2 linked regions of the Lepisosteus oculatus genome follow. The protein of the gene in region 2 purifies or fractionates together with the protein of the main gene of each other region. This does not show direct contact. Links are inferred from orthologs where the notes say so. Each region holds a gene or a part of one and is shown on either strand. Other genes may lie near its edges. The genes, in order: irf2bp1 and irf2b.

What was found.
Region 1: the proteins of irf2b (region 2) and irf2bp1 purify together in Homo sapiens (affinity purification with mass spectrometry; 4 studies listed by BioGRID and IntAct, counting the BioPlex papers as one, with this or other methods). This does not show direct contact. The link is inferred for Lepisosteus oculatus from reciprocal best matches to the Homo sapiens genes IRF2 and IRF2BP1.

What each region holds. Positions count from the first base shown.
Region 1 is NC_090698.1:1,450,287-1,466,203, forward strand, and holds irf2bp1 (interferon regulatory factor 2-binding protein 1), read right to left. Parts: upstream 7,491-15,917; 5' UTR 7,194-7,490; coding exon 5,247-7,193; 3' UTR 5,238-5,246; intron 4,893-5,237; 3' UTR 4,804-4,892; downstream 1-4,803. UniProt on the Homo sapiens protein: Acts as a transcriptional corepressor in a IRF2-dependent manner; this repression is not mediated by histone deacetylase activities. May act as an E3 ligase towards JDP2, enhancing its polyubiquitination. Represses ATF2-dependent transcriptional activation.
Region 2 is NC_090696.1:75,450,318-75,466,018, forward strand, and holds the start of irf2b (interferon regulatory factor 2), read right to left. Parts: upstream 6,071-15,701; 5' UTR 5,057-6,070; intron 4,963-5,056; 5' UTR 4,900-4,962; coding exon 4,894-4,899; intron 1-4,893. Other genes in the region: caspase-7-like, read right to left, coding at 10,603-10,832, 11,326-11,443, 12,012-12,187, 13,023-13,151, 13,680-13,768, 14,813-14,898. UniProt on the Homo sapiens protein: Specifically binds to the upstream regulatory region of type I IFN and IFN-inducible MHC class I genes (the interferon consensus sequence (ICS)) and represses those genes. Also acts as an activator for several genes including H4 and IL7.

The sequences.
Region 1 (15,917 bases), on a different chromosome or scaffold from region 2:
AAGCAGTGTTCGAAACCCAAAACACAGGTAACCCACGGAAACCTGGTAGATAACCTAAAGATATCGTTACACCAAACCCCAGATTTTATGCTACGTTTCAGACGTCTGTACTGTCAAAGCAAAGTCTTCTTGCATGGCAGCTACCTTGTGTGATTAAACCCAATTCCAAGGATACGTACTGCTCTGTACTCCACTGTGAGGGCAGGAGCAGACAGGGAAGGTTCCTGCCAAACTAAAAACAAGCACCCTGCGCATATAGAGATAAAACACGAAGCCTGAAAGGCAGCCGGCACAACCACATTGGTGGCTGGTCACTGGGCCCCGACGCAAGACATCTAGACATTAATGTGGTTTGCAAACCACAGAAGCCATTCTGCCCCTCTAGCTTGTTGGGCTGCTGTTGGATCCCAGGATCTCATCCTGCTGCTTTCCGAGAGTAGCCAGCGCTGGACAACATGGCTGGGTGGCTTGAGCCTCTTCCAGCCCCACTGCCCCCGGTCAGGAAGTGCCCCCCGGTGTGTTTCACTGTGTGCAGCTGCAGGAGTCGAGCGACCGATGTCTCGCTCTTCCTGTACACCAGGGGTGGTGTGATGGCAGTGGCCCAGAGGCACATGATCATGTGGCTGGAAGAGCGAGGCCCTTAACCCCAGCTGCTCCAGGGGTGCTGTACAATGACTGACCCTGCGCTCTGACCCCCAGCTTCTCTCCCTGTCTGTGTGTCTCATGGAGAGCAAGCTGGGGTATGCGAAAAGACAGATTCCTAATGCAAGAAATTATATAGGGCTAATAAAGTGATGTAACTTTAAGAGCTTAAGACGCACACAGATGACGGGCGACTCCCTTAGCTTGTTTTCTGCTTTTCGATCTTCGGATGTGGCTGTGTGCTGCCATCTCTCACCCTTCCTGTGTCCAAGAAGTGGTGCACACTTGCTCCAGCCACGCCCACGGAGCAGGGCTGTGTCTCAGGGCATGCTGGGAGCACCAAAGAGCCATGTGCCTGTATCAGGCATGCTGAGAGATCCATAGTGACATGTGCCTGTGTGGGGGCATGCTGGGAGATCCACAGGGCCCAGCAGTCGGACTTCAGCCACTGGAGCAGTGGGCGTGTCCCCCTCTCCACCCAGGCAGCAGCGACAGAGAGGCCAGTCCCTGGCTGGCGTGGTGCAGGCGAGACCCCCGCGGTCCGGCCGCCCCGACGCTGTGCTGATCCACGCGGGCGCCGGGATCCTCACACGCAGAGCCCGGAGAAACCGCACGGCAACGGGAACAAACCAGTCAACCAGAAACCTCTCATCTCCACATTTTTTTATTAAAACGTTTTTTTTTAAAAATTAGCCTTTTTATTTATACTTTAACCCTTTTTTTTACAAAAGAAGATTTTGTACTATCAAGCATCACAAGAGCAAAGGCGTGACAGCTACAAAACAGAGCAGTCTGGACCGCGGCTATCGAACTAACGCACCTGGACTGAGGACAGCAGCCAGGGTGGGAATTTCCAGCTCTTCTGTTGTGCTAATCCACAACTGGGTTCTGGGTGGAGGAGTAAAAAAGATTCTTTCATTCAGAGCTGCTTAACCCAGCACACCCTGGATATGCTTGTGAAAAAAAAACAGTAAACACCTTCTCATCCTGAAATATAGTAACAGGGCCTACAACCTAGCAACCAAACTAAGAAACTGCAGAACTGGGAAAACACTTTAATAAACGGTGCTGGACACACACTCTGAATTCACAAATCTGCTCCCATGCGTGTTCGTTGATGACGGCTTCCTTACCGTTTCGTGCTGTCATGGTCATTCTAGAAGGCACTCTATAGGACTAGGACTGGCCAGACGACTGACCAGTGCAACAGGAGGGGAGTGTCCCGACCAGCTCTGCATTCCCCCAAACCACAAGGCTTTGTTGGGAACACAGAGGGGCAGGAGACCCATGTTTATCAAATTCTGAGCCAACGAAAAGCACTTCTTTGGCTTTCCGTCATTATTGCGTCGGTAACCACAGCTTGGGGTACAGATATTTGGGGTGCAGCTTTGCATTGCACAAGCGCACGAGTGTGCAGACTCACGGTACGCAAGCACGACCCACCCAAGCTCCTGAACACCTAAATACTGTCCAGTCTTCGCGCACAGCGAGGAGAGAGAGAGAGAGGAGAACGCCCCACCCTCTGGCGCAGCGACAGGAAATCCCAGCCCTGTGTGTACATGTGGAAGTCAGACGTAACCTAGTCCACAGGCCACAGACAGCGTCCCACAGGCCAGGCCTGACGGGTGCCGTGTGCTGGGCTCTCGCTTCATGGAGAAACACAATCTACACGGCCCCATCTCGAGCCGTCTCAGCTCCCCGCCCGGCGAGTCCTGCTGGGGGACACACTGCTGGGCTCTATTAAGGCAGACGCACAGAACGGACAAGGAACAGCATCAGTTAGGCACTTCTGAGGGCAAACACGGTTTGGTGATTGTTTTGTACAAAAAAAAAACACAACAAAACTAGAACTATGCAAAGAACACTGTAGACTTCTTTTTTAAACCAACTGGGACAAGCAACGTGGTGCAAACGCACAACAAACACATTTTGTCGTTTTCATTTCATGTCATTTTTAAACCAGAGGTTAAAAGTGCGGCTGGAATGCAGTCAGAAATGGATCGGACCCTCTGTGTCACACTCCAGTGAGAGCTGTTCTTCCGAAAACACCAAGAACGTCAACCAGAAATGTCCTCAGCCTCCACTCCAGCGTCAAGGAAGAGCGCTTTACACTGGAACACAGCCCAGTGAAAACACCTCAGCTCTTTAAGCTAGTCAGAGCTTTTGAGTAGAAGGCATTTTATTGGTATCTAAACCCACAGACGACAGGGCATTTCGTCATGTAGCAATTGAAAAGCTGTAGGAGACACTAAGTTGAAAGCACAGCGCTTTGAGCTGTGCCAAATGGTAAGACATCCATTAAAAAAAGATACAAAAGGCCCAACTCACTGTGTACAGACAGGCTCAAACTGAATCATTTCCTTTAATCACTTGTTTTCGCTGTTCATGCGCGTCGTGGACTAAAAAAAATGCTTCTTCAGACCACAGGAGGCTCAATGGTGTGCAGATAACCGTCAGAACGTATCGACTCAAATATTTCATAGTGTTTCGAAACCGACAAAGGCAGAATTGCACAGCTAAACACCTCCGAAAAAAACCCCAGAACCAACAGTATAGAAACAGCTCAACTGTTCTGCAAGAAGCACTCGTTTCTGCTCGTCATCCCAGGCCAGGAGATGGTATCTGTTGCGAACAGGAAAACACAACAACAAAAAAGCCACAAATTCTCTCAGTTAACTGCCTTCCTTTTTTCTGGGGCCACCATGTAACGCAGACTAGAAGACAGACAGAATGCAGGATGGAGATTACTACACAGCAAGGCAGGCAGCCTCAGCATGGAGACTCCGTGTGTTCACAGGAGCGCACACAACATGGTACTGGAACTGGCCAGTCTGGGTCCAGACAGCTTTCTGTAAAGGCCTTGAACTAGGGGTGCAAGGCCCAGCATGCAGGCCCCGCTCCGCCCCTGTGTCTATCTGTGTCTGCCCCGCTCCGCCCCTGTGTCTATCTGTGTCTGCCCCGCTCCGCCCCTGTGTCTATCTGTGTCTGCCCCGCTCCGCCCCTGTGTCTATCTGTGTCTGCCCCTGTGTCTGCCCAGCTCTGCCCCTGTGTCTATCTGTGTCTGCCCCACTCCCCCCCTGTGTCTATCTGTGTCTGCCCTGCTATTGCAGCACCTGCTCTCACGGCCAGCGAAGGGCATTCCAGCTCTGAGACACACACGGGAGCCAGCCGCTCTGCGCTGCCCGGGCAAATCCCAGCAGGCCCCGGGCACGCCGTGTTCCCGCCTCGACGCTCCACGCGCACGGGAACGACCCCTGCCCCTTCTCACCCCGACAGGCTGGACCCTCTGAGCCCCAGCTGCCTGTTCTCTTTCTCCTATCGGTCGGTGAAGCAGGACAAACAACACAAGAGCAGCTCGTTCGTCTGATGACAGCGTTAGAACGGGCAGGATCTCTCACGGGGCTGGCGAGAGGCTCTTCGCTCTGTCGCTACATGTCCATCTCAGACCCCCGTAATCCTCGTCCCTGTTCTCCACCGAGCCAAAGACGACACAGCAGAAACGCTTACAAACCCGCTTCTGACCCGCTATGGAAAACCGCTGAAGGCGCTGCTAGGCACCACCTGTGCTGTAAGACTCAACCGTGTGCGACTGCAAGCGCCCCTGCAGCGCCCGTCCGGTCGGCTGGCAGCCCACGATGCACTGGGGCTGGGCCACGCCGCGCTCCCGCCGCCCCTGCGGCACCTGTGCAGGGGTCCCGGCCCGGCCCGGCCCGCCGTCCTCGCCGCGGGCTGGAACTATCTTTGGTTTTCCGTTTGCGTAGGCATAACGATTCAGTGGTACGTAGAAAAAAGCATCGTATCAAAACTAGAGATTGCACATCTATATCCAAAGAGAGAGAGGACGCACTCCGCCGTGTTTCCCTGGTATAAAATCTGAAAGGAGGTCAGCTCTGTCCCCGCCGGCCCGGGTCAGGGGTCAGGGGTCAGGGAGGCCCCGGGCTCGGCCTCAGTCCGACTGGGGGGGCCGTAGGCTTGTAGGTTGAGAAAGAAAGCAATCGAGTTCGGGGCGCCGGAGGAGGTGGGGGAGCTTGCCCCAGGCCGCAGACACGCTGGGGTTCTCTCTGCAGAGGTGTTGGGGCATCTGGGTGCTGGACCCCTCCCCGAGCGAAGGGCCCGGACCCGCACGAGCCGGACAGTCTCGTCCACCGGGGCCCAGGCTGGACACGCAGCGCCCTTAGCAAAGTCTGAGGAGGCTCCTCCTGGGCTGGGCCGGACGCAGACCCCCGCCCCCCGGCTTCGCGCGGGACCCCCTGTGGGACAAGAGAACACGAGCACGTCAGCTTCGCGGCACCTGGGGGTCACAGGGGCCACGACCGGGACGGCCGTCGCCGTCGCGCTCACAGGCTGCACCCCGTTTTCATCCGCTGCCTTTACTCCTGCTCGAGGCGCTCGATAAAGTTCACCGTTTCGACACGAGGAAGGAGCCCCACCTCGCACCCCTTCCCCCAGCGCCACTCCCCAGTGGGGTCAACCTCCGGCAGCCTGGGAACAAACAGGACAGGTTTCCCCCGGGGCGCACGCTTCCCGACGCACCACGGGGAGAGCAGGCTGGGGCGCCCCCCCTGTCCGCCGGGGGCCGCGGCCCGAGCTCTCACCTGGGCTCGCTACGGGTCGCGCTCCTTCTTCACCTTCACGTCTCCCGCCAGGATGGTGGCGATCTCGCCCTGCATGAAGGCCCAGGGCACGTTGGAGCCCACCAGGGGGCACTTGTCGCCGCTGGGGCAGTAGACCTCCCCGCCGGGGCCCTGGCTGCGGATGAAGTCGCGCGTGCAGGGGAAGCAGAACTTGTGGCTGGGCACGGAGGGGCACTGCACGAAGTGCGTGTCCTCCAGCCGCTCGTGGCAGATGGTGCAGCAGAGCGGGGCGGCGCTGCCCCCCGGGGGCTCCCCTGCGCCCTGCTCCCCGGGCGCGGCGAGCGGGAGAGGTGCGCTGCTGCTGCCGGCCGCGGCGCCGGTGGCGGAGGAGGCGGCGGCGGAGCTGGGGGCCCCGGCGCTGCTGCTGGGGGGTCCCTGCGCCGGCGGCGCCGCCGCGTCCCCGTTGCGCGACGCCAAGCGGCGCGGCGGCTGGCCGGCGGGCGAGGACGCGGACGGGCTGCCGCTGTTCTGCCGCGAGAGGGCGGAGCCGGGGGCGTCCTTCGGCGACTGCCCCGCGCCCAGGTTGTCGGCCACGCTCATGAGCGCCGAGATGGGCGAGGGCTCGCTGTGGGCAGCCGCCCCCTCCTGGGGCGCCGGCTGGCTGGCGTGGCTGCCCCCGGGCAGGTGGGGCAGGACGGAGTAGATGCCGGCGGAGCTGACGGGCACCCAGTGCTGCCGCGGCTGCTGCCCCTCCTCCCCCAGCAGCTTGCTGCCCGGCTCCCCGCCCTCCGCCTCCCCGCCCTCGGCCTTGCGCCGCCGCAGGCTGCCCCTGGGGGGGGCGGCGCGGCCCACCCCGCACAGCGCCGTGGGCAGCAGCGCGCAGCTGGCGTCCAGGAAGGGCTGGGGCAGCAGCTCGGGCGCGGGGGCCTCCTTGAACGCCCGCACGCTGTCGCTCAGCAGCTCGGACAGCAGCCGCCAGTCGCCGGCGCCGTGCCGCCGCTCGTACTCCACGTACTTGGCGCCCGAGCTGATGACCTTGCCCGCGTCCTTCAGGCAGTCGTGGAACATCTGCTTGGCCAGCGCCAGCAGGCTGGAGAAGACGGTGCCCGAGCCGCAGGGGTACTCGGTGAAGATCTTCAGCTCCAGCTCCAGGCCCGGCCTGGCGTCGAAGGCGAAGACGCGCCCCACCAGGCCGTGGTCCTTCTTGAAGCGCACGTTGAAGGGGGCGCAGCCCGCCAGCGCCTGCAGGGCGTCCCGCACGGCCTTGGGCCGGCCGGCCCAGTCCTCGGCCCGGCCCCGCACGCTCTCCGACAGCTCGGCCAGCGCCTCCGCGTTCCTCTGCTTCTCCCTCAGCTCCTTCTCGTAGTCGGGGCCGGCGAAGGGGGCCACGCCGCCCACCAGCCCCAGGCCCAGGCCCACCGCGGCCGCCTGCCGCTTGCCCAGCTCGCCCAGCAGGGGGGCGCTGATGGTCAGCGCCGTGGCCCCCGCCCGGGAGCTCAGCCCCGGCACCGCCGCCAGCAGGCCGTGCGGCGTGCCCACCAAGCCCGGCACCAGACTCGGGGGCACTGCCCCCACCATGGCGCGGCGGGAGGTGGGGCTCTGCCGGCTGACCTCGGCCGCCCCCGCCTCCTCCGGCCGGGCCAGCCCGTTGGGCAGCCGGGCGGGCAGCCCGTACTCCGCCCGGACCCGCTCCAGCCTCTCCACGGGCTGCCGGCCGCCGTCCAGCGGCGCGTCCTTCCCGGCGGGGCCGTGCTTGCCCGCCTGGGGCCCGGGGGACCGGCCGTCCTGCATGACGTGAGTCCTCTTCAGCTGCCGGGCCGTCTCAATCAGGAACTCGATCCTGTCCGCTCCCTCGTAATTGACGCAGCCGCGGCACACGGCCTCGCTGAAGTCCCAGATCATGGCCCAGGGCATCTTGGGCAGGTCGCAGAGGTAGCACCATTGCCGCCTGGAGGAAGCCTGTGAAGCAGAGGACATTTTCTCAGGCCCTCTCGCTCGCTCTCACAGCGCCGCCGTTTCTGAAATCCCGCCTCGCTTCCCGAGTTCCTCGTCCGCGGCCCCGATCCCACAAACACGGTTCGGCCCCTCTGTCGCGGGCGAACTGGAGAATTTCGCGTCACTTGTTGTCCTTTCTTCTGTTTTGTTTTGTTTTTGTTTTTTTCCGTATCGCCCCAGTCTCTCTGCCCGAGTGGAAGTGTTTGTCCTAGAAGACGCTGGAAACTTACACAACCCCGGAGCGGTGCACTCTGGGAACTGTAGTTTCTGTCCCGCTCGGAACCGGCGCGGTCGCCTGGGACCGGCGAATATGACTCTGTTCTCTCGGTGTGTTTCAGTCTATCACCTGTCAGAAGTCCAGTACAATTGCCCAGGAATACAGCATTATGTCCTCTATGCTGCCTATATTATAAGCGGGTTCCTCCTCAGTGTCTCTCTCATAGGGAGTTCACCTCAGTACTTACTCTCCAGTAAGCTCGGTAAAAGTTAATTTTTAATTTAAAATATGTTTTTTGAGATCCCAGGCATATGACAGTGCTTAACGTGGCTTCACACGGACCGGATTTTCGGAAACAGAAACCCGTTAAGATCGGACATTACTATTAGTATTCCTGTGCGTTTACTTTTACCAGCATTTCCTATGTCTTATGGACGAAAGCTCTCATCTGCGTGCATGACCCAGGAAACCAGTGAGGTAAGGAATTCACATCACAGGCCAGCTGGGTGCAGTTTACACTGAGCGGGTACTGCCCTTCCTCTAGTCCACGGAAAGTGAGGTCGGCCAAGCTGTGTCACCTAAGCAAAGCTTCGAAAAAAACCCACAAGATATTTATTCGCGGGGTAAAAAACTACTTTTTAATGACTAAATAGTAACACAACTCTAATAATACAAATGTTGAATCGCTATTTACTGATTTATGTTAAACTTGCAAGCTTCGCTGTGATGATCGTTCTATTGTAATAATAATAGCAGCAGAGGAACAAGTAATAGGTTTATTCCATGCTGAAAAAAAGAAGAAAGAGAACACAACGTTTCGGCCGTGGAGCCTTCTTCAGGTGTGAGAGAGACAGGGCAGTAGGCAAAGGTAAAGTCTAATAGCAGACTTTACCTTTGGTAAAGTAAAGGTAAAGTATAATAGCAGCAGTAACGTTTATTCTCTCCCAAGGGTCCCAAACTCGCTGGGAAAGTGTGGACTCAATCTCCCAGAGCGCTTTGCGCCGCAGAGTCTGACATCACCACTTCCTTCTCTGCCTCCCACCCACGGCGCTGCTGCAGTGCGCAGGCGCAAGGGACATTCCATGCATGTCTGAGCTGTAGAGCAGTGTGGTTAACCGTCGGTGGGAGAGGAGCTGCCAAAAAACACACCTATTACGCAACCAGCATCTTGGCTGTAATGGGAGTTCCCCCAATACACAACTAGGAGTATCTTCTGCACGTCTTGTCAAACCCACAAAGTCACCCTGTGAGAGCTTTTTGGAGAAGGCAACTTTCTTTTCAAAGTCGTGAACTGAAAAGAGGGTTGCAGGCTTGCGTGGCGTCGTCGGAATCCACGCAGAGGCGAAATAGACCGCCTGGACAGGGCCACTGCTCGTGAAGAGCTGTTTGATTATCGGCTGGTTGATCAAGGCGCTTTCCCTGCGACACGTAGAAACGTCTACTGCTTGCTATTGCAAAACACCTACAAAATCATTATAACTGTGTTTACTAAGTAAATGGAATCATGTGAAAGAAATAATGGTCTAGGATCTTTATAAAATTCTCATGATGCACCGTTGCTTACGCGCACGATTGAGCGAAATGGGTCTTACAAGGGACCATCAATTCGACTTAAACCTTCGCTTTGCGCTGGAACCTCGGTCAATCGGTATTCGTCTCACAATTGCTTCAGCACGATCTGTGGCCATGGCAACGCGCGTTCCCATGGAAACCAGTGCGCAGAGAGGTGCTGGACCTACGTCTTTATTTTAAAGACGAATCCTTCACAAATTCTCTTGTACTTTGTAACTGCCTCGCCTGCTGTAAAGTCAACACGTATTGGGATATTCGTCTGATTTGTTTGATCCTACTGTCTTCTGCCGATAATTAGTCGTTGACTTGAAGTCGTTGATCTTTCCCCGTCTAGTTAAAACATACAGGCCCTAGAGAGCTATAGAGAGGAAAGTCTGATCTGCATAGTATGGCAGCCAGAAACTGCAATGTTAATAATTCAACACAGCAAAAACATTGTAAATTCCTTTTGAATTGTTTTGAGGTCGAAGGCGTCGGTCCAAGGTGTTACCGCCAGGGGGGGGCCGAGATCGACTCAAATCAACCAGAGCGACGATCCACCGGGATCAAACCGAAAGGAAAACCGTTCAACTTCATTTTCATTCAGCTTCTCCTTCTTTGTGCGGGAAAATAAGCCCGTCTCAACAAAAGAATATATAAAAGCTAAACGAAAAAAAAAAGTGTTCGATCTCAACCTATTGTGAAATGAATCTTAACATTTCTCTATACTGCTGTAAAAAGAGTAATTAAGCTTAACTGGATAAACCTCCTACAGTGTTTTGTGTGTTTTATTGACAATGATTTGCCGTATTTGAGTAGGTTTTATAGCGTTCGACCCCTATTGTATTGTATTGTGCAGATCGCCCCAATCTCAGGAGACGCTCAGACCAGAAAGCTCGGTCTAGACCGCGGGGCAGAGATTTCAGGAAACTCATCGGAAGGCATGTTACAATCATTTTTAAACCCGTCAGTAAAACGGGTTGAATAACGACTGTAAAAACACACGTGTCTGAGGATTACACGGGATAGCCTGGAGCAACACGCAGTTCACATTTTAGGTCTTTATATGGGATCTCCAGGATTCGGGAATCGGGAAAGGAAATCGCCAGGCAGCTCCGAAGTCTCCGCGCAAGAGAGAAGAAGGCGCAAACTTGTCCAGAGCGGAGCCACCTGCGGGCCTCGGGCCAGTCGCGCCGTGGGTGCGTGGGTGCGTGGGCGCTCCCGCGGGGCTGGAGCTCCTCCAGGGCGCAGGCGCGGGCGGTGCCCGGATGGCCAGATGGCACCAGAAGCTGTCAGTGGATTTCCTGGCAGCATGTGCGCGCGTTTGTGTGGGCATGTTTATACCTTCTCCGTCTCGGTAAGGATCGCTAATCCCTGCTTCCACAGCGCACCCCTTCCCCGCTCCGCCACACCTCCCCAGACACTCACACCCCGCTCCTATTCACAGACCCGTTTCTGGGGCGCCGCCGGCCCTCCCCCCAAAAGCAGGACAGCGCGCTCGACCTCTGACCCGTTTCCCCGCCCTGCCACCCGTCTCCTTTTATTACAAAAAAAAATCGATTCACGTTTGATTAACGGCGAATGCAATAAAATAATATTAAACAAACTGCATCTTTCCTCTCTGAAGGCCTGCCCCGCCGTCCAGCGGGGAATCAGGACGTTTCCTTTTTCCCAGCCCGGGCGACAGCCAGCCGGTCACGTGGCGCCCCCCCCCCGCTCACGCGGTCGCCATCTCTATTATGACTCTCGCCTTCTCCGAAGACACGGTCAATAAAAGCAATTAGAGGGGGGGAGGAAGAGGGCCAGATGTTGCCAAATCCACAGAATCTTGACAATACCCCCCCCCCGGCCCCCCTCCCCGGTGGAACGGGCCGGACAATGGGCCGGCCAGACAGCGCGGTGGAGAGGAGGAGGGGCAGATGGAGACCCGTCGTCGCACAATAGACGGGCGGGCTGAAAGTCCGGGTTATTGGAGCTCAGTCAGCCTTTCACTCTTTTTCTGGGATTAGAGACAGACTGCCACTGGGGTTAATGTTCCTCTTGTGAATCTCGGAGCGCAGGGGAGTGTTAGCGGCCATCTGCCCCCAGTTAAACAGGAGCAGAAGACCGTACGAAGCTGTAACCCCCGAATTCACAATCATCTCCAGCCTCTGTTCCAGGGGCACCACTGCCTGCTTGATTCTGACAGCACCTGATGTTTTACTGGAAAACCCTGAACCACTCCTACAGGTTTTGAGCACTTTTGCTGTCTACCTTTCGCTGCGATGAAGGGAAATTAGATTTTCCTAAACAGATTTTCCTTTGTCCAGTACGGGGTCACAGGCCAGCTGGAGCCTATCCCAGCAAGCAACAGGCTCACGGCAGGGTACACCCTGGATGGGACGCCCGTTCATCGCAGGGCCACACAGACACGCACACACTCACACCAGGGCCGGTGTTCCCAGAAGCCAGGTAACCCACCAGCATGACTTTGAATTGTGGGAGGAAACTGGAGCACCCAGAGGAAACCCATGTTATCATGGGGAGAACATACAAACTCCACCCAGCACCCCAAAAACCGAACACTGCAATGCTGACCACTGCTCACCAGAATGTAAAATGTAAAACAACGTGATCAAATTATCTTTCTGATGGACTATTATTTGTTTTTAGTTTAGCCCACAGAACTCAAGGAAATGAATGAAAAGATGAGCACCCACCCCAGAAACAACTGAATTTCTCAACTTATTCTTCTCACTGGTATAAACCACAGCACCTCCTGTGATGATGAGTCAGGCTAGATTTCCACATGGGTTCGTCTGCTCTGTTTTGTGCAGGGAGTTACGTCGCATTGATGATAAATCACCAGATCTAATACTGCTGCTCTCTTTTTTTCTTGTTTAAATAGTAATGGTAATAAATAGTAATAATTCCCTGCATTGACATACAACTTATATCACAGGGGATCACAGAGAGCTTCACTATAGGAGGGTTCCACTTCATCTATCACTGTGCAGGGCACACTGAGGCATACACAGGAGTCACTCTGCGGAAACAGACCAGGTGGAGGAGCGAGAAAGGGTTTCACAAACTGAATTATGGAGGGAATTCTGAGAGTCCAGACAGTACAAGTCCAGGGTGGAATCTAGCCAGGGTTAACACCCCAGCCCACTCACTCAACCCCATGGCTGACCCTGCGCTCTGACCCCCAGCTTCTCTCCCTGTCTGTGTGTCTGTGTCTCCATGGAGAGCAAGCTGGGGTCTGCGAAAAGACAAATTCCTAATGCAAGAAGTTGTATAGGGCTAATAAAGAAACATTATTATTATTATAACTGATAAACAATGCATTGGGATATTTAATAACCAAGTAGTCAGTTTACTCAGTTTGCTGTCTTATCTGAAGGTCGGTACCTTCCATAGCATTGTTCCTCTGTCACCATAAGGGGTCGCTGGTCTGGGGAAGAGCACCACTACTGGTCGTACAGCAGCAGCAAACTGCTTTCTCCCCTGAGGTCTTTCATCCCAGATACAGACCTGACCCTTCTCGCCAAACGTCAGCGATCTGATGAGATCAGGCTTCTAGGAGGTATAGCTGCGTCTATGTATGTACCGTCAGAAAATATACGCACACACACACGCACACACACACACACACACAATGCGCTACCTCATCATTCACCCCCCCTCTTTCACACCCTGCTCAGTGATCCCCGGGCCTCCCCCTGCGCAGGGTGCAGAGATGCGCAGGGGTGCCTCCTCCTCCGGCCCTCTGAGCGGCACCGTGTTGCTCACAAGGTGAATGAAACAGCACAAGAAACCTCCTTCCTGAAGGAGCCGGACTCTGTGCCGAGCTTCAGGGCAATATGGAGCTGCTCCCTGCAGGACCTCTCTCTGGCACAGCGCTGACCCCCAGCCCTGGTGCAGCGTGATTCCCTACTCTCCGCTCCTGAACCACGGCAACCAGCACACACACTCAGCCAGGCCTTTGTTCAGGCACAAAGACTGTTGCCTTGCTGAGGCACACACACTGAGAGGCCTGCATCTGCAGCACAACCTCCCTCAGAATCTGAAGCAGTGATCTACCAACCCCCTTGCCAACACACACTCACACACACACACACAGTGCCCTCCCCCACTCCTTCGAAAAGCCTCAGCTGTGAAGGTGCAAATAGACTGATTTCTGCTCTTGCTGTCCTCTCGCGACCCCGGTTAACTGCTGTTGAGCACACATTAACAACAGGACAGCAGGTCCCCTCCGTCTCTGCCCCAGGGCCCCCTGGTCCAGCCCGCGAGCTGTGTGACCATGGAAACACCGGGACGCCGTGAACACCAGGGCAGCTGGAGGACCAGGTCTGGTCCTCCTTGAAGAGGGAGCAACCTCAGTTTCTGTTTTAAATCACCCCCATCTTAGTACCACCGATGTGCCCTTTGCACGAGTGTATGACCTTTGTCTTGACTATTCTCCTGTCCAAGCAGAAACAACATTATTGTCCTTCCTTTTTACAAAGAGGCTGCAATAAGGCACTCTGGTGTCCCATTGCAGAAGCACAGCACCTGACGCACGAGTGTGCACTTCACAGACACAGGGCGCAGGCTGAGGCAGGACCCTGACTGGGGCATCAGTCCATTTCAGGGCTCACAGACGGAGGGCACTGCAGAGATGCCGATTATCCTGGACAGCACGTCTTCGCATTGTCGAGAGGAGCACGGAAAGAACACACGCCCACACAGGGGAACACGCAGGCACCACGCAGAAGGCACCCCAAGCTGCAAACCAGCCCAGGCCAGGAGCTGTGAGACAGCTGTGTTAACTGCCATGGCACCATGTCGCCCATTAACAACCCATCTCCATGCATTTCCTCATTAATGAGACAAGCATGCGGCACTTTTCATTGTTTGTATTATACTGTCAGCCATATGGACAATATTTTCTCAATAACCCTACCTACACCTTACAAAATTCATCAGGCAGCATGTTTCATCTTGTGGCTCTTAAAAAGGCAGAGAACTGTAATAAATGGACTGTAATCATTGAAAAACATACTTTTCTCCAGGCTCTTCATTAATATATTATCACAATCTTGTGCTTGGTTCTGGTCACAATACAATCAAAGGGATATTATACACTTTAAAAAGTTCAAAGAAGAGCCGTAGGTTTTTTTAATTTTATGGGATTATTCAATGCAGAAGGGTTAAGCAAGCTAAATCACTTCAGTGGAATACGAAGCGCCTCTTTAAACTGAGAGTTAGGGTTAGGGTTACACTGAGAGTTGTGGATGTCTGGAATAGCTTTCCTGGCCATTCAGCTGGGCTCCTCCAAGAACCAGGTGGCTAAAATTCCAGATTCTTCAAGATGAGCCGAGCCAGCTCCTCTGGGTGGTGCCTTTCTTCTGTGTCTGACCGAGCAATTCCACCTGTCTGTAAGACACCCTCCTCTCTCCCGGCAGTGCGTCTGCACACCCCTACCGGAGGCCAGGGGACTCGTGAATGTTGCTGTGGACGAAGCAGAGCTGACGGGCAAGAAGCAGGAGCTGTGTGGGTTAGGCAGGAGCTGTGTGCGTTAGGCAGGAGCTGTGTGGGTTAGGCAGGAGCTGTGTGCGTTAGGCAGGAGCTGTGTGCGTTAGGCAGGAGCTGTGTGCGTTAGGCAGGAGCTGTGTGGGTTAGGCAGGAGCTGTGTGCGTTAGCAGGAGCTGTGTGCGTTAGGCAGGAGCTGTGTGGGTTAGGCAGGAGCTGTGTGCGTTAGGCAGGAGCTGTGTGCGTTAGGCAGGAGCTGTGTGCGTTAGGCAGGAGCTGTGTGCGTTAGGCAGGAGCTGTGTGGGTTAGGCAGGAGCTGTGTGCGTTAGCAGGAGCTGTGTGCGTTAGGCAGGAGCTGTGTGGGTTAGGCAGGAGCTGTGTGCGTTAGGCAGGAGCTGTGTGCGTTAGGCAGGAGCTGTGTGGGTTAGGCAGGAGCTGTGTGCGTTAGGCAGGAGCTGTGTGCCTTAGGCAGGAGCTGTGTGCGTTAGGCAGGAGCTGTGTGCGTTAGGCAGGAGCTGTGTGGGTTAGGCAGGAGCTGCGTGCGTTAGGCAGGAGCTGTGTGGGTTAGGCGGGTTCCTTGTGCTGGACGACTGTCGCAGCGAGCTCAGCGGCGAGGCTGTCCTGTCCTGCTCGCCTGGAGGCCTCGGTCAGCGTAACGACACTGTGACTGCAGTGTGACGCGGTGAGGGGACACGAAGGGGAGGTGCTCCGGCGTGCGAGGGTGTCACTGAGCCAGATCAACACTTCCATTTCTTGTCAGGCTTATTGCTGTGATATATTCATTAATTTGCAGATACAGTTCCCTAAATCGTTCACTCCAGCTGTTGCTGTTAGCCTCACCCAGCTGCCAGATTAGCGTGGCCCAAATATCAGGACGGGCTACAGCAGAGGCAGGCTGTTGGGAGGCACTGTTTTATTGCTAATTTTCTGATTATTAGCCGTTCCGTGATGCGCCTCTCGCTGCTGGCACGTGACGCCCGAGACGGGGCCCGTGGCTCTTCCTCAGCGAGACGATGTGTGTTGTGTTGGCCGACGCTGTAAATTATAACCCGGAGACGCTGCCTATTTTTACATACTTCAAGCCCTTTCTGTTCAAGGATGTTTTCAAACAGCCCCCCCCTCTCTCTCTCTCTCGTCATGTGACACCAGAAAATTATAGCTCGCTCGCCGGAGACAAATCAATCGCGGCCAATTGCGTTGGGCCAGGGGCGGCTCCGCCACTAACATCTGACAGGGATGCGCTCGGGCGCCCATGACGTCACCCGGTCCTGGCGCTCCGGCACTCAGACCAGGGATGCTCTGAAGGCAAGACTGCAGCATCTTCCTCTCGCGGAGCGGCTCCCACCAGATCGCATCTTTCCTGCGCGTTTTCGTTTCCGGCGTTTCTCTGCATCCCGTCCTTTTCTCCTCCAAACCCACCCGGCCCGTCTCTCAGCGCAGCCCCA
Region 2 (15,701 bases):
CACGGGGGCTCTTCTGCACTTGCAAAAGCACCAGCTGCTTTCCTACCCAGACATCCTGCTCGTAGAAAACGAAACTCCAGATGCGAGCACCCCAGGCTGCATCCCGCACCTGTGGAAAGTGTCCGCGAACAGATGCAGTGTGCTGTTCCTGTACAACCATCGTGACTGCAATCGCCCTCCACACAGATGCACACAGCGACACTGTGTCGCTTCTGCACGGCCCCAGAAAGCAGAAGGACAGAGGGCTGGACAACTCCGGCGACCTTCCTGACCGCACTGAGCAGCGCTCGCCCAAAGACGCGTGTCTAATTCCAGCCCCTCGATTTGAATCCCCACAATCATCTCTGGAACGCCTCGGAGGCTGGACACAGATCTGTCTTCATCCGCTGCTCTGAACAGTGAGCGGGTGAGGTGGGCCAGTTCAGTCCATCACCTTTCCCTGTTAGTAGGAAGGCTGGGACACTGCATAACAAAGGAACATGATGACAAAGAGCAGACATTCTTAATTTATAATGTTCCCAGATTCCGCTTTGCTTTATTGTGACTGTGAGAAGATGAGGAGGAACAAAAATTCAGACTCAGGTGGTTTATTGCAATATTTACTATTCACTTGCTAGTGGAACATTTCTCTGGGTCAAAGTCCATCAGTCTTAACCGATGCAGCCAATGACCAAAAACATATCAGAGCAGATTTAACTAGGGGTAATGGTGTCTTGAATTTTGTCTCTTTTCTGGCTACCTGGGTAAATGTCTCCTTGGGCATCTAAGACAGGAGGCCGAGGTCATTCCACCCATCCAGTTCATTTTCTATGGGTTTCGGCTTCAACAACATGGTTGGGAAGCTTGTTCCATGCTCCATCAACTCTATGTGTAAGGATGTTCCTCCTGTACTCAGTTTAAATAAAATTCCATGTAGTGTCCACTTACAGTACGTCCTCTGATTTGTTTATAAAGAGCAGACAGTTTCAAGACCCTGGCACTAAACTGCATACAAGGTTAATATTTGATCATAATGGCTGACCTGCTATTATATTCAGAAAACACCATAAAAGATCAGCCTGCCATAGAAATGCAGTCAGTTGTGCAAGGAAAAAACAAAAAGACACGAAACCTATCTCTCCTGTGGTTCCAGACAGGAATTTGATCAACAGAACTTTGATTTTCAGAAATGAATAAAGCTCTAAAATATGTTACGTTATCATTAGTTTTATTATAATCTAGTTATTATTGTATTTTTATTGTAAACTTACTTATCTCATCAAAGATACATTAAAAGACAAAAAACTCTTGGCAAAATCTCAATTAACAAGATACTGACTGAGATACCTCAGAAGGAATTTTAAAAACCCACCCTGCACAAGGAAATGTTTATGTTTACATAACAACATGAAAATAATTTCAAGCAACGCAAAATGTCACACGCTGCACAATCAAAATGTTACGTTAGTAGCTATTATACTGCACAGAGCCACTCTGAATCTAATCACAAAATGTAATCACTAAATTTAAACTTGTTAAAGAGCAAGGGTTTCCTAGTGGAGTCCTGTTGGGATTTGCTAAGCAGTAAAGTGCAACTGATACAGTTCTGTGAGGGAAAGCGCTGGAATTATTTAACCAGGGTTCTCCGAGATGAACTTCCTACAACTTCCCAGACCCAGGCACCATTCAATGACATCAGTGAGAGAGATGCTCCATTCCTCCAATCAGTGCTAGCTCTCATGTCAGTCGCTATGGAGCTTGCAGAGAGTCAGAAGACGACAGAGACCCTAATGGAGGAGCTCGGCCTCCTTTCTCCATTCTTCCCCTACAGTTCAGGAGTTGTCACTGAGAACCATGAGGCAAAACAGAAAAAACTGTGATTCCAAATAGGGCTGGGCGATATGGCCAAAAACATCACGACAAGAAATTTCATATCAGTCGATATCGATAATTATCACAATAACTGTCAAATCATTATTTCTTTCAAGTTTAAAGGCAGATTTTTTCTCCTGAGTGAAAGTTGAAGAAACCAGACAGTTAACTGGTAAATTAAACAACTTTTTATTTTAAGAACACAACAAACACTTGCCAAACAGCAGAAACCTTAAACAAATCTGTCAGCTGCCCGGTCTGCAACACACACGCGCACTCGCGCAGTATTTTGTGTGCATGCGCATATCTTGAGCAAAGCGTAAACATATATATCGAACATTCATCGCACTTTTGTTAAAATTATATCGAGGAAAATTATATCGCGATAATTATCATTATCAAATTACCGCCCAGCTCTAACTCCAAATCTTTGGCCTCAGAACTCTAAAACCTTTAATTTATCAGGGAAAGCAAATAAAAGGAATATGTTTTGCCCCTCCTCTGTTTTCACAAATTTTAGAACATTTTTTTTCTAGACGCATTCTACGGAATATATTGCAGGAATTGTTTTTTTAGAGAATTCACAACTTTATTATTTATTAAGAGAACATGATAGCACAATAATAGAAATATTTTTTAAATAAACAGTAAAATTCAACACACCACAAAGTTAATATCTCTTGATTTAAGAGTTGCCATTTGTGTGTGTGCGTGGTTGGCGAGTGTAAATGTTTGAGATTTGAAACTTGCTCGTTTTGCACACCACACCTGCTTGTCTTCTGCAAATGTGAAAAAAATGAACTCACTTTTAAATAAGACACTCACACCGAAATCGAATTCCAGTGGCATTTATGTGAAGATATGGACTTCAATGAAATGTGAGCCACAATCTCCAAACCAAAGCCAGAACTGGGGCTGGGTTTTTTACAAGCACCACATAAGAGCACTGCAATGGAGCTCAAACCTTGAATGCTGGCTTGTCAGAAGTGCATCCAAAATGAAGCAGTTTCTTTCCCACCATGTGAAAGTAAATGACAGAAACTGAGGAAAAAATAACATCCCTTATTTCATTTCTGCATGCCGACAATTTTCTATCTCATGACTAAAAGGCTATTATTTTTAGGAATCACCGTGTGGGGGTCATACTGAATGAAGCTCAGAAAAGATGGTCTCAGGTACAAGTACAAGTACAAGTGGTATCTGGTGGAAGACAACAGAAGAGCATCGATCTCCACATTCACTGGATGGCCATGGGTTACATTCCTCCTAAAGGATGCCATGCTACATTAAAACATTGTAAACATTAACAACCTCCTGCTTGGCAACTGCATGAGCATTATTTTTTCATAGGTAATATTATTTCACGATGAACACTTAATCCCTCCATAACGCCATCGTGTTCGTTAGTGACACTCCGGATCACGTTGGTCACTATTAAAACTGCAATTTCAGCTTGATTCTGAAACACTTCAAAGGTTCTGTAATTAGAAGCACACACACACAGCTTTCGGCCTAAATGTACTGCCTTTTGAAAATGTCAGAGGCACCTGAAACCGCAGTTATATTTGAATCTTTCACTTACTGTACACACAGTCTCAGAGAATTTAATATTTTTTTTGAAAGTCCCAGAGGGTTACATTTATCTGAAGGGAAACCTAATGATAAACTTGGAAAACTGCCAAGTTAAAAAAACGTATTTTTGCCTTGCAATTCACAAATAAAAAAAGCCAGCTATTTTTCAAGTTACTGTTCCACCACACACTAGGTAATTTAATTGGTCAGATTTATTTTGCCAGGTGGTCAGATTATATCCTACAGTTAACTTTAACCCTTGACATTAAACACACACACATCTCATTATTGTTGTTTGGAATTCCAGAGCAAAACAACTAAAATAAAACAACTTCTTACGGACAAAGCGAAAAAACTGCTTCTCTTATAAGGAAATAAACTGAAATGAGTAGCCTACCAACCAGAAACCCCAAAATATGCTATTGTGACCTCATTTAAGAGTCAAAAACTAAACACTAACAAGCTTGGAGAGCATTAAAGCTACAGAAACATCTACGTTCTCCTGTACTCTCTGAAAAGACCTACTTCTTCCTCAATATACAGCAGTCTGATTTAATCTGTGAACACTTCTCTCTCGATGTGGCAAGCAGACACAGACACTGATACGTACCATTTAAGTGCTATATAAACATTTGCCAGTTGATGATTAAATGTAACCCACAATGAGGGATACACACATCTGATTTCCATCTTACCCCCGTGTGAGATAGTACTGGTCTCAGAGATTTCAATCTAATATCTAAATGCTTTCAAGGCATGTGCAAGTAGATTATTCAGCCCCCAATGTGCAGCAGAGCAGATATGGTAACAACAGTCACAATTAGAAGAAACTTAGTCACCCAGAAGCAGATAAGAGCGAACACATAAATGTCTTCTCTAATTTGGGCTCCTCAAAATGAATAATGCTAACCTGAAATCTAAGCGATTACCACACAGCATGTCCCCCTAAATCACAAACAGTTGCCCTATAGCTAGAAGTCTTGTACACTATGACCAAGCTGGATTACAGTGTGCTTCAGAAGACAGAGATCCTACATCTTTAGGAGGTGCCCCTGGGACGTTTAATCAGGAATGACAGCACAGGGAGGATACATACTTTAGCTATGCTGTCACACCTTCAAGAACTTTTAAGAAACTGCATCTGCAACATGAGAAAGAAATTCTCTACTGAGCGATTGCTTCACCTTTAAAAAAAAAACAGGGATGTGGGAGTTGAACCTGATCAGCTTTTTTTTATATATCTAGGAATCTGCTTTTAGGTGTACATTTTTTAGTTATTAACACAGCGTCGATCCAAGGAAGACAAAACACAAACCAACTAAAACCACAGATCGTGATCAAGTCTTTATTCAAACGTCAGTATTTAACCCCCTTTTAGAATAAAGACAACTGTGTTTAAAATGTGCATTCTGTCAAATTAAAACTTCATCCCAAGGCAAGTTCTTTTTCTAGGAAAACAAGCGCCTATACCTGCATATCTGCCTCGTTCACATGGGAGTTAACCTACGACCACAGCGATGCCTTCGTTCACTGCAACGTCTGCAAGAAAAACACGGGCTATGTATCCAAAGCAGCACGCCTCGAATTCAACCCTTTTTTTTTCCAAGCACTGTTAACAGCGGTTCAAACTTACGTAGAGGGCGGCATGTGTTGACGGAACCGAGGCCCGAAGAGGACACCTGCTGTGCAACTTGGGTTGCCTGTCGTATGACTTGGCAGACTACAATGTATCGATAGGCTTACGCCTGTGCGGCACATGGGGGCACGGCGGCGGCGGCCTCTCACGCCAAGCCCCGGCCGGAGCGCCCCGCCGTTGGCTGCGCCGCCTGTCACTTCAGCGGCGGCGAGCCCAGCGTGCACCGTCACCGCTCGCCGCAGCCGGGGAGGGGGGAGAGGAGAGGAGGAAACCGAGAGAAAGCCCGATTAAAGCGACAAGTTACGGAGCCCCAAGCCTGCCGACAGCACGGCACCCAGCCTCGGGAGGCCCGACACCAGCCACGGCGCTGCGGCGTCTCGCCCAGCAAGTCCGATATAGGGTTTCCCCCCGAATAAAAACAGCCGTACCCATACCGTAAAAAAAATACAACCACTTTCACGTAACTAAAATAAAAAATGCGTACAGTATGCTTCTGGGCATGTGGAGAAATGTCATTTTAAAACATAAACCGCACATTTAGCTTCTTGCAGCTCACGACACTGATCTTACTACTGCAGCCTAGATAAAAGATATGCCATCCGTAACCGACCGCCCTAAACTCTCTTACGAAACGTACCCTCTCGCAAACACGAAACGTTTTTTTTTATTTTATTTCGACAAAAGCCATCAATATCACCCCTACACGATTGTTGGCATTATTAGCAGGCTGGTGTGGTACGACGTTACACGTTTTGCCAATCGTTATCGGGCACGTTATTATTTCAAGACGAGCACGTATTCCTCGCTGGAGCGCGTCATACTGTACACTGACAGCTGTGCAAGTTCAAGTTGTGTACTCGGAGATAATCGGTCTCTCAATCCAAAAGTGAAATTAAACCTCAGTCCCTCTCCCAACTTCACATGCTCCGAACATCCCTGATCTGATTGTCTATCATTTTTGCGACAGGACTTCCTGTTTATATCAAGAAGGAAACATAATTCTTAATAAATAAAAAAAAACATATACAAGAACCATCATTACCTGATTTCTCTTTTTTTAAAAAAAACACCCCGCCTGCTCGCTTTCTGACCCAGTCCAAACCTTAAAGGTCCTTCCCCCGGGGCCGAAAAGTTTGTCGTGAAAGTTTGCGGCGCTCAGTAACAAAACTAAAACTTAACTCGGGGCCGCTTTCAGTGTCCAGATCGAAAGCAAAACAAGTAGAGGAAACAGCGAGCTGCCTGGAAATCCCCTCCCGGACTGTTTGTTTCGCCTTCGCCTGAACCTTTAGAGGGCGTCGTGCAGAAGCGAGCCGAGGAGCTGCGAAGTCAGAGGCGCCCCCTCATTGGTGCACGGCGGCGCTGTCATCATTTCTCGGAAACTGAAATTTCATTTTCGCTTCCCCTCCGGCCCGGCTGGCGTGTGCGCAGCGCGCCGGGGAAGGAGGCGAGCAAGCCCGGCGGTGTGGCAGGAAACTCGCCATCGCCGTGCCTCCCGGGGCGCCCCGCCTTGCGCACTCTTGAGCGGGCCTGGCGCTACAAAGTGCCGGTTTGTAGCTGGTGGCCGTCTCCAGATTGCGCGCTGCCTGGGCGAACAGCGCTTTTGAAAAGGGGGGCGGTGGCCCCGGCCGGCCGGCCGGCCGCTCTCGGGAGTTGCTTGTTGAGGCGGACACGTCGTTTTGTTTACCGGAGTATTTTGTGACGGTGCGGGTGTGCGCGCACACACACACACGCTGCGTGTTTGTCAGTCGCTTTTCTTTTATTTTTTTTTTCTCTCCCACTTTTAATTGTCCATAAAGGCGCTGCAGGACCGGACCCCCTTTGTGCTCCGAGCCCGACGTCCAGTTAAATATTTACAGAGGCAGAGGGACAGACGCACGCAAAGCTGGTTTCGCAATCGGCTTGCCTTCAGCGGCAGAGGTGCGGGTCCCGGCGTTAACGCACAGCAGGCAGTCGGAAGCCACGGTGTAAAACATTAAAACGGAAGGGGAAAAAAAAGAGAGAAGAAAAACCCGTGGCTTCAGCGAGTTGAGAGGGTGGAAGTTGTGTTACACGTGCTTACGACCATGGCTACGCGGGGCTGCGTTATTGGGGCTCGTTTTCAGACGCTGCCTTTCCTTGATCAAAGGTCAGCTGTTACTGTAGGTCTGCAGACCCCTCCTCCAACCTTAAGAATGACAGAGCCGCTGGTTGTTCGGAGCTTTATTATCATTGTATGTATATATAATATAGTAACAGCAAAAAAATCATAATAATCCAAATAGGGGAAAGAAATCATCAGAATAATGACGTAGTTATATGTATTGCCTTCCGGGTTTAAAACTGCATGCCCTGACAACATTGCCTGGAGTCTGTTAACTGTTTAATAAACTCATACAGATTACAGGGACTTTGGAACTTTTTCTCTTCAGATCCTGAGACGACTGATGTTTTTCCTTCCTGTTCTGAGAGAGGTGCAGATGAACACCTTATCCGACACAGTTCTGTCATTTACAGAGGAATGAAATGTGTGTTGCGATGGTTTGTTGATTGCTCTTTTTTTTTTTGGGGGGGGGGGGTGTTCTTATTTTAATAACAAGAATAAGGCATGAAATTTTATTTAAACTGTACCACCCACATAACTAGGTCTTCCCTGAATTCCTCTCTCTCTCTCTATGGGATTTTGTGATAATGCCTTGGGGATTCTCCTTGGTAGTGTCCCGTTGTTTTCTCTGTTCTGAGAACATCACTCTAGGAATATTCTGCGTGCAGCATTTTGTGGGTCCGCATGTACAGTATGTGTGAAATAAGCTGGGCCCCCATGAGTGGAAACTGCAATAAAAATGCAATTAATCCGTTAAGGGCTCCAGATGGACATTGTGTCATAACTTGTTTTTCCTCGGAGTGGCCCTGCGACAGTGTATTACCTGGAGTTGCTAATCGTGGCTTTTCCATAAAACGTGTATGACCGCATACGGCATGTGTTCTGTAGGGTCCGTGCCCCCACCCTTAATCAACCCAGACAAATTGTAGTGACATCTGCCAACGTTGTCAAACAAAGAGGATACAAAGGCATCAGGTTAACAAGGAATAAGGTCACTTCTTTTGGGCTCTTGGGACACCAGTCAGTTCCATGGTGTCCCGTGACTATCGATCTATCAGATGGAGATTCAGGTTGCGTGGAAGCAGGGTGCCCAGATGCCCCTGGGGCTGTAATTCAGTTGGAAGGTGTGGGATGAAGTGGTTAGAAAGTGGAGGCCCGTTGAGCAGCAGTTGCAGGGGGCTTGTGGGTAGTGCTCGACCGAACATTTCCAATCATTTCTGAGGCTATTCCGAGGCAAGTGGCAGTGTGGGCAAAGGATGTTCTTAATTGAACAGATTAGCTGTTTAGGTGATCAGTAACTTACAGGTGTTCCCAGATGATACAAACAGGTGATCCGCTGTATAAAATAAACTGGAATGGGGCTCTCTAGGACCTGAGTTCTAGAGCTCTGGGCTAAAGAGGCTTTTTTAAAAACACTGTAACCTTATATAGTCTGTTGTCATCAAGCGACTTCTTTTTTCCATTACTAGCACAGGATTCAATGTTACTTCTGTGTCCCTTTCGTACATTATTTTTGTGTTCTAGTTGGCAAAACAAAAGTCTATAGTGTGCACTTCACCCTACAACAGTCAATACACTGGAGACTGACACATTACACAACTGTAAAGAATTGTAGCAGCAGCACTGTGTGAACATCCGAAAAACAAGAAGAGCCTGTTTGATAGTTTAAGGAAGTTCAACTTTATGGGATGTCTTGTATGTTACTATTTCAAACAGTCTGATGGTGCAAACATGCAAATGATAGTGCTTAATATAAATAGTAATTATGATTGTATAGTAATAGATTTGTACAATCGATCCTGATACTCTCAGAGTCTTTTTACATATAAACTTACATATACGTCTTTTACACACAAACAAGTTTATAAATGTAGCATTACAAGCCGTTTGTGTTTTACGATCGTATTTGATCACATTTGTGTAACATATTTTCTAAGTTTTGAAATCTGTCCCCTCTAAACATTTTTATATGAAACTGCAGACGTGCTTTGTATTTTCAAGAATCAAAAGACGTCGACAAAAAGTTTAATATTTTGCTCCTGAAAAAGTCCGGAAAGTAACCCTTAAAAACCTGGCCCCCAGTGAATCCATATTAAAATCCCATCTCACTGAATTGTTGAACAGCACTATATCCTGAATTTTAGTGTAAGAAATAAATGTGTATGTATAGTGATTGTTATCTAATGGATTCGGGTGTAACCACATGAATGTTAGAGTTCTAAGGGAAAACAGCGCAGCAATCTCCCTGTTCCAAGCCGATTCTTGTTCTCCAGTCATGCTCTGGCCTTATCAGTGTGGCAGGCTTGGTCGTACAATAATGTTTTCTACCACCGAAGAATTCGCCTGGGTTTCTAAAGTCAGGAAGGGGCGAGGACTGAGGTGGGACAGGTTTTACAACCAGGAGCAATAAGGGTGTAAAGCCTGCCTCGCTTGCCTGAGCTTTCAGGGTTCAAGGTGTTCCGCAGCCGGATTGTGAAATGCGCGAATCGCACTTTGTTCCTGCCGTACCTGTCGGAGCGATGAATCAGTTACGTGTGCCGTCGTAAACACCAAGGCCAGCATACCGCTTGCGCTTTCTTCACGAAAAACCCACGTGTGAGGGAGCTCAAAGCACAGTGAGTGTTGTTATTTTACCTGACTGACACTTTTATAAAATAGAAACTTGGATATGTTCCTGTTCATACAGCTGGGCATTTGACTGAAGCATTCTGAGTAAAAGACATTGTTTGCTCAGCATGTAATTTGAACCTATTGTACACCCTTCCAGTCACCTGTCTAGAGACCCCTAAACCCTGCCCTAGTACATTTTCTAAGATGACACAGTGACGTCTGCTGCCGTGAAAATGTATCTTACTGCGTGAGAGTTTCATGATAAAGCCATTGTGTAGTGTTCAGGTCTCTCACTTTCAGTAAGGGTGTATTGTCTAGGGTATAGTCTATTTTTCAAGCTATGTGCTTTATACTGTACACAACCACACCAAATACAGTTTTTTTTTAAAAAAAACACGATATTGCATTGTCCATCTCGTTTTCATGTACTTTATAGTGTAAGTATTTTAATATTTTATTTTTCAGGATATTTTAGTTAAGAAAGAAATCCAGTTGTAAACACACAATAGCGGTTTAAACTTGAACTATTTACAATCCCTGCTGTAATTTCAAACGTTTTTAAGAAAGGAATATTTTGTCTTTAAAGATGCAATACAACTAACAGTCATAAAAAAAACAACATATGAGGTCATGGAAAGACTATATGCAGAATATTTCGATCCTGTAGATACTGTACAGAAGAGAAATATGATGGATATGATAGAACTAAAACAAGAGAAAAGCGCTTTTTCAATGCGTGTAGCTGTAACCTTTAAAAAATCCCTACATGATTCCTCGTCCATATAAATTGTGTTAAATCCAATCTGGTTTCCTTTAGGCATGTCCGGCAGGAAGAATTACATTCAGTGGTGATTTATTCGCTGAAGTAAAGGTCTCTTGTCAGTCTGGAGATGATGCATGGCATCTGTTTTTTCCCATGAGACAACCAGGCACCTGTGTCAGATTCAAACCTGAGGGCCACCCAGTGACTGACCCGTGTCAGGATCCTAGCGAGGTCCAGATCCCTGCCGTGTTGATCTAACATTTCACACAGCCTTCTGATGAAAATCGAGCCCCGGACCTGGTTCCTCCATGAATAATATCCTGGCGAGAAAAAGCAACCGTGACTTTCTTGCTTATAGACGACTGGGAAAAAAGAAACCGGCAGCGAACCAGAGTTCTCATGTCTGGCTTTTTTTTTCTGGATCACAGCAGGAATAGACATGTTTTATATTTTTAATTAAAAAATAAAAAAAAACATAAGGATGAAAACGAAAGATGATGCACCTTGCACACTTCTTCACAATCTGGGGCAGCCAGCCGGCAAAACAGACTTCTGAACTTTGATGGACTGTAATACCGCTATGATAAATGGCAGAGAAAACTTTCGAAAAGTCAACCAGAAGTTGTATCCTGCTTTTAATGTAAACGAGACATTCTCGGTCTTGCATTAATGACACCCTGGGCTTTCTAGCACTATGAATCGGGCAAGGACAATCAAAGTTGCCTTTATTGAGGCCGCAGAGCAGGTGCACAGCCTAAAGAGGAAGGTGTGCGCTCCGCCGCGTTGGCCGCACAGGAGACGCAGGGACGGTACCTGCAGCGGTGGAGTGAGCGCACAGGAAGTCCTCTTCTGGGATCTCGCTGATGTCAATGTCCTCCGCTTCTGTGGAGTCTGTCTCAACGCCGCCGTCGTACTCCTCTCCTCGGCAGGCCTGGGCGGGCGAGAGAGAGGAGCCTAAGTGACAGATCACGGCTTTTTTTCTGTGTTATTTTCCATGAATACACCGGGAAGGAAGATACAAAACTGAAACAAAACACTCTCCAACAGACACAAACATAATAAAACGTCAAAGTATGTGTAAATATATGTTATTATTATTATTATTATTATTATTATTATTATTATTATTATTATTATTATTATTATTATTATTATTTACAATGACTTTTTTCCTTTGATAAAAACGTATTGAACATTTTGCACATTGTCCTTGGTACTGTACTTTAAAAATATTTATGCTTTTTAAAGCAGCAATGCTGTTAAAGTTTCAAAATATTGAAACTGAAGTCTTGATTTCTGTGCTTTTAAACTATGGTCGCTTTAAAAACAGTTTAGATATTCCCTTTCATGAAGTTATTAGAAACGTAATATAGAATTTGAACATTGACTATTGATCCTTTTTACTTTCATTGTACTGTATATAGAAAATTTGAGGTGTATTTTAATATTCTGCATCACCTGCTTTCATTCTGTCTTTCCCTGGAATTAAAATGCTTTACCTGAATGAAGAACAGTTTGGGCTTCCCAGCTAGGCTTGGACAGTCCTGTGCACTGAATAGAGCAGTCAGCTCCTTAATTTTAATTTCTCTGTCTGTCCCATAAATGTGACCTTTATACCCATGGCTAAGAATTACACAAGCAAAACATGCCATCTCACCGTGGTCCTCTCTAGAAACTGAAGACAAAGAAAATAGAGCTGTGTTAATATCACAGCAGGGAGATTCTTGTCCACAAAGCAAGTCAGCACACATCAGACACACAAAGAGCTGTGAATGGCAGGAGGCTTTTCATCATGGCCTTGTTTGACTGCTGCCAGCTAATTGATCCCAAATCACTTCCGTCTGCTTAGGGAAGGATTCTACAGTGTCAGCTACAGCACATCTGTTGAAGATGCCAAGTGCTTCTTTTTGCGTAACGCAGTTGTTCTGTTTAAATGTACTGTATGCTGTATATATACACACAGCAAGACCTTGAGAATGCAACAAATGCTTTTCCAATACAGTTCTGTGGTTTGTTTAAAACCTCTCAGTGTCTTAATTACGCCATGCCTCTTCGGACTTGCCGATTGTTAATAACTTGGTTCACCATTCCTGTGCTGTGTTGGAAGTTTGGGGAGATGTAGACGTTCCTCCTGCCCCTTCCTCTCTCCTCCTCACAGCTGCAGTGGTTCGACGCTCCCACCTGCTGTTGAGCTGCGAGTCCTGCAGTGTTTGCTCAGGAGATTCGCCAGCGGGTCCCAGCTGACAAGCCCACAGGCTCACAAGCCCCCTCAGAAGTGATAAACGTCTCGGAGGATTGTGAGAGCTTGGATCACAGCACCTCGGCTGTGTGCTTTGACACTAAAGAGATTTAGTTTCTCAAACTGTGTGTATGACACTATTACAGATTAGCGAGTAAGTGAAATGGAAACAAAGCTACAGTTGCATCTCATCTGCTTCCCTTCATTTTATTTGAACATTAATTTTAGCGATACGTATGGAGAATATTTTGCATTTTGTGAAGGCCGGTACCTGTGTCTAAGACCTGCCGCATTTCAGCGCATGACAGGTCTTTCTCCATCTGCACTGTGAAGCCCAACGATCCAAAGGCTTCCCTCACTTTCCTCCCATCCTCCTCGGTGCCGATCCGCTTGTTCATTCCTGACAATCAACGAAAACTGTGAGAGGTGCGTAGATTGCCAGGCCAGACAATCTTGGTTCCTTGTTCTTCAATCTGTTGCAAGATTCTGATCTAACCTGAATCAATTTGATTATTTAATAGATCCTCAGCAGCAGAATCAATTACGTAATTAAGAGTTCATTGCATAATTACAGTACAGGTTGAACTGAAGTCTTGCAACAACAAGCCTGGAAGAGCCAGGGTTACTCGAAGTACTGGTGTGGTCATCCTGCATTGCCTTTGCTCTGCCGTGCTACAGTATTTAGGACAGTAAGGGCATTCCTAGAATTAAATAATGCAGCACAGTGCTGCTGGCATGCAGGTAGACCATTAAGCAGCAGAACAACAGAAGAGAGCAATTCAAGATCTACACATTGCTCTGGAACCGACTTTTCCAAAGAACCTTGTTTGTTGAAACTAAATGAAAGTTTTAGGGCTCCTGCTGCTGCAAACACAATATTTTGGTCAAAAGAAAAACGAAACCGATACACAAACACCATGAAGCTTACCTGAGAAATTTTCATTGTTGATGATGACACACTTGCCGATGTTCTTGTACTTCAGGCTGTATCTGTAAATACTAGAATGTGCTTGAACGCTGCCAAAATAAAATGTGTAATTGGTTGCAATTAGTATTTATTTCTACTAGCTGATGTCCACCAGATGCCCTCAGCAGCCTCTTTCCTGGCAATAGTAGAGGGGCTTGAGCAGGAAGCAGAGCATGGGCATCGTTGCGCTGGGCCGGTCGCCCTTGTGTGCCACTGAAGAAACCTGTCCAGGGAGGAGCTGGTCTCACTCACTTCATCTGCAGAAAGATGCCACTACCCCGTCCCCTCAAAACCCTCCACCCTCACAAGCACAGCACAGCGCCATTTTCTACAGCCTGTGGCACGTTGTGCTTGCCTGGCCTGAGCTGGTTGGGTCACTCTCAGGTGTCCCAACCCGCCACCTACTGTAACAGGCGTCCAAGCCGGAGTCAGACTGCTCTCCGGTTTTGCCAAGCAGAGAGAATGACCGTCTTCTGTATTTCAGTGCGTAGCTTCCAGACCACTGTGCTCGTGATGAACAGTGATGGCGGTGATTTCGATTTCAGCAACACCTCCAGTCAGACAGGCCAGGAGTTAGAGGAGGCCACTGGGTCCCAGATAAACACACCACTTCATTGCAGTCCACATGACAGCACTCTAACCTTTATTGTTTATATACCCTAAATGCCAAGGTACAAACACACCTTAACCAAACCAACCCTGACAGAGAGGCTGAGAATTATAAGAAGTCAAATAAAGCTTGAAAACCTACCCTCTGAATGTTTGTTTTTCCAGACATTCACGCACATGAGGGTGAAGTGAACAATAAGCAGAAGCTGTTGATCATTGTGCTCTTGAGCACACAGCTGTGGCTTTGTGTGCCTCAGATGCCTTTGTCTTTTTGTTTTGCCATTTCGCTGACAATGAGATCACCACCACTACAGTCGGGGACTTTCACCTGATAAAAACTCATCTGTCGGGCATGGTTCCTATTTCCATTGAGGTCCAGTTCTCTTGCCACCAGACGAACCTTCTGATAACTCCTCCAAATATCTACAAAGCTTGTGAAGTGATGGATGTGCTCTAAGAAACTTCGAGCAGCTGATGTCACCTACCTTGTCATTCCAGTGTCAAAACCTATAATTACACCCGTAGCTGTGGTGACATGTCCCTGCTGTACATTTGTGCCCTCAAACTCCATGTATGGCAATGAAGTGGCTTTTCTTCCTTGAGGAGCGAAGACTTCACTGTCACACACTGTCATTGGATATGGGTCTGCGTACTAGTGAACCAAACCTCCCAGGGAATCATATTTCACTGCCTCCTCCACACAGCAGTGACTCTTAAAGGCCAGCGTCTTTTCACCAGATCTCGCGGCGCACAGAACGTCCTCTGTTCCAGAAGTAGGTCCACTCGACCTCTTTGGGTCAGTGGTTTAATGACTTCATACAACAGTTAAGTAAATGACAACATTATGTTTTTACAATTGATGTAAATGTATGCAATAAATAAAAATCTAAACCAGAATCTGAATGACATTGGACAAGTTGCTTCAGATTGTGTTCTCAGGAGCTGAAACGGTTTTATATTGTTCTGACACAACGTCAGATTATTACATGTATGCATAATTGCTTAGGAATTTTTATCAGTCATACTGTATATACTGAAAATTTTCTGTGCATCTCTTTTTGCGAAATAAAAAAAAAGAATTTTCTGTCAAGACAGTTTTGACATTTTGTACACGTCAGTGAGCAATTCGATCAATTTGCTATTGAAGGAATGTGGATTTTTCTTAGCAAAAGTATTCATCGTTGGGATACTGTATGAGTATTTTCTAAATACTAGTAAAATTATTATTATTATTATTATTATTAATAATTATTATTATTATTCTTTCTCCTCTGAGTCACACAACCTACCTTCCATCTTCCCTGCTAGGCCTTGTGGAGTCCATAGAACTGTGGAGCAGAGGGCCGTTTCTGTGAGTCGGGTGCTTCTGAATCG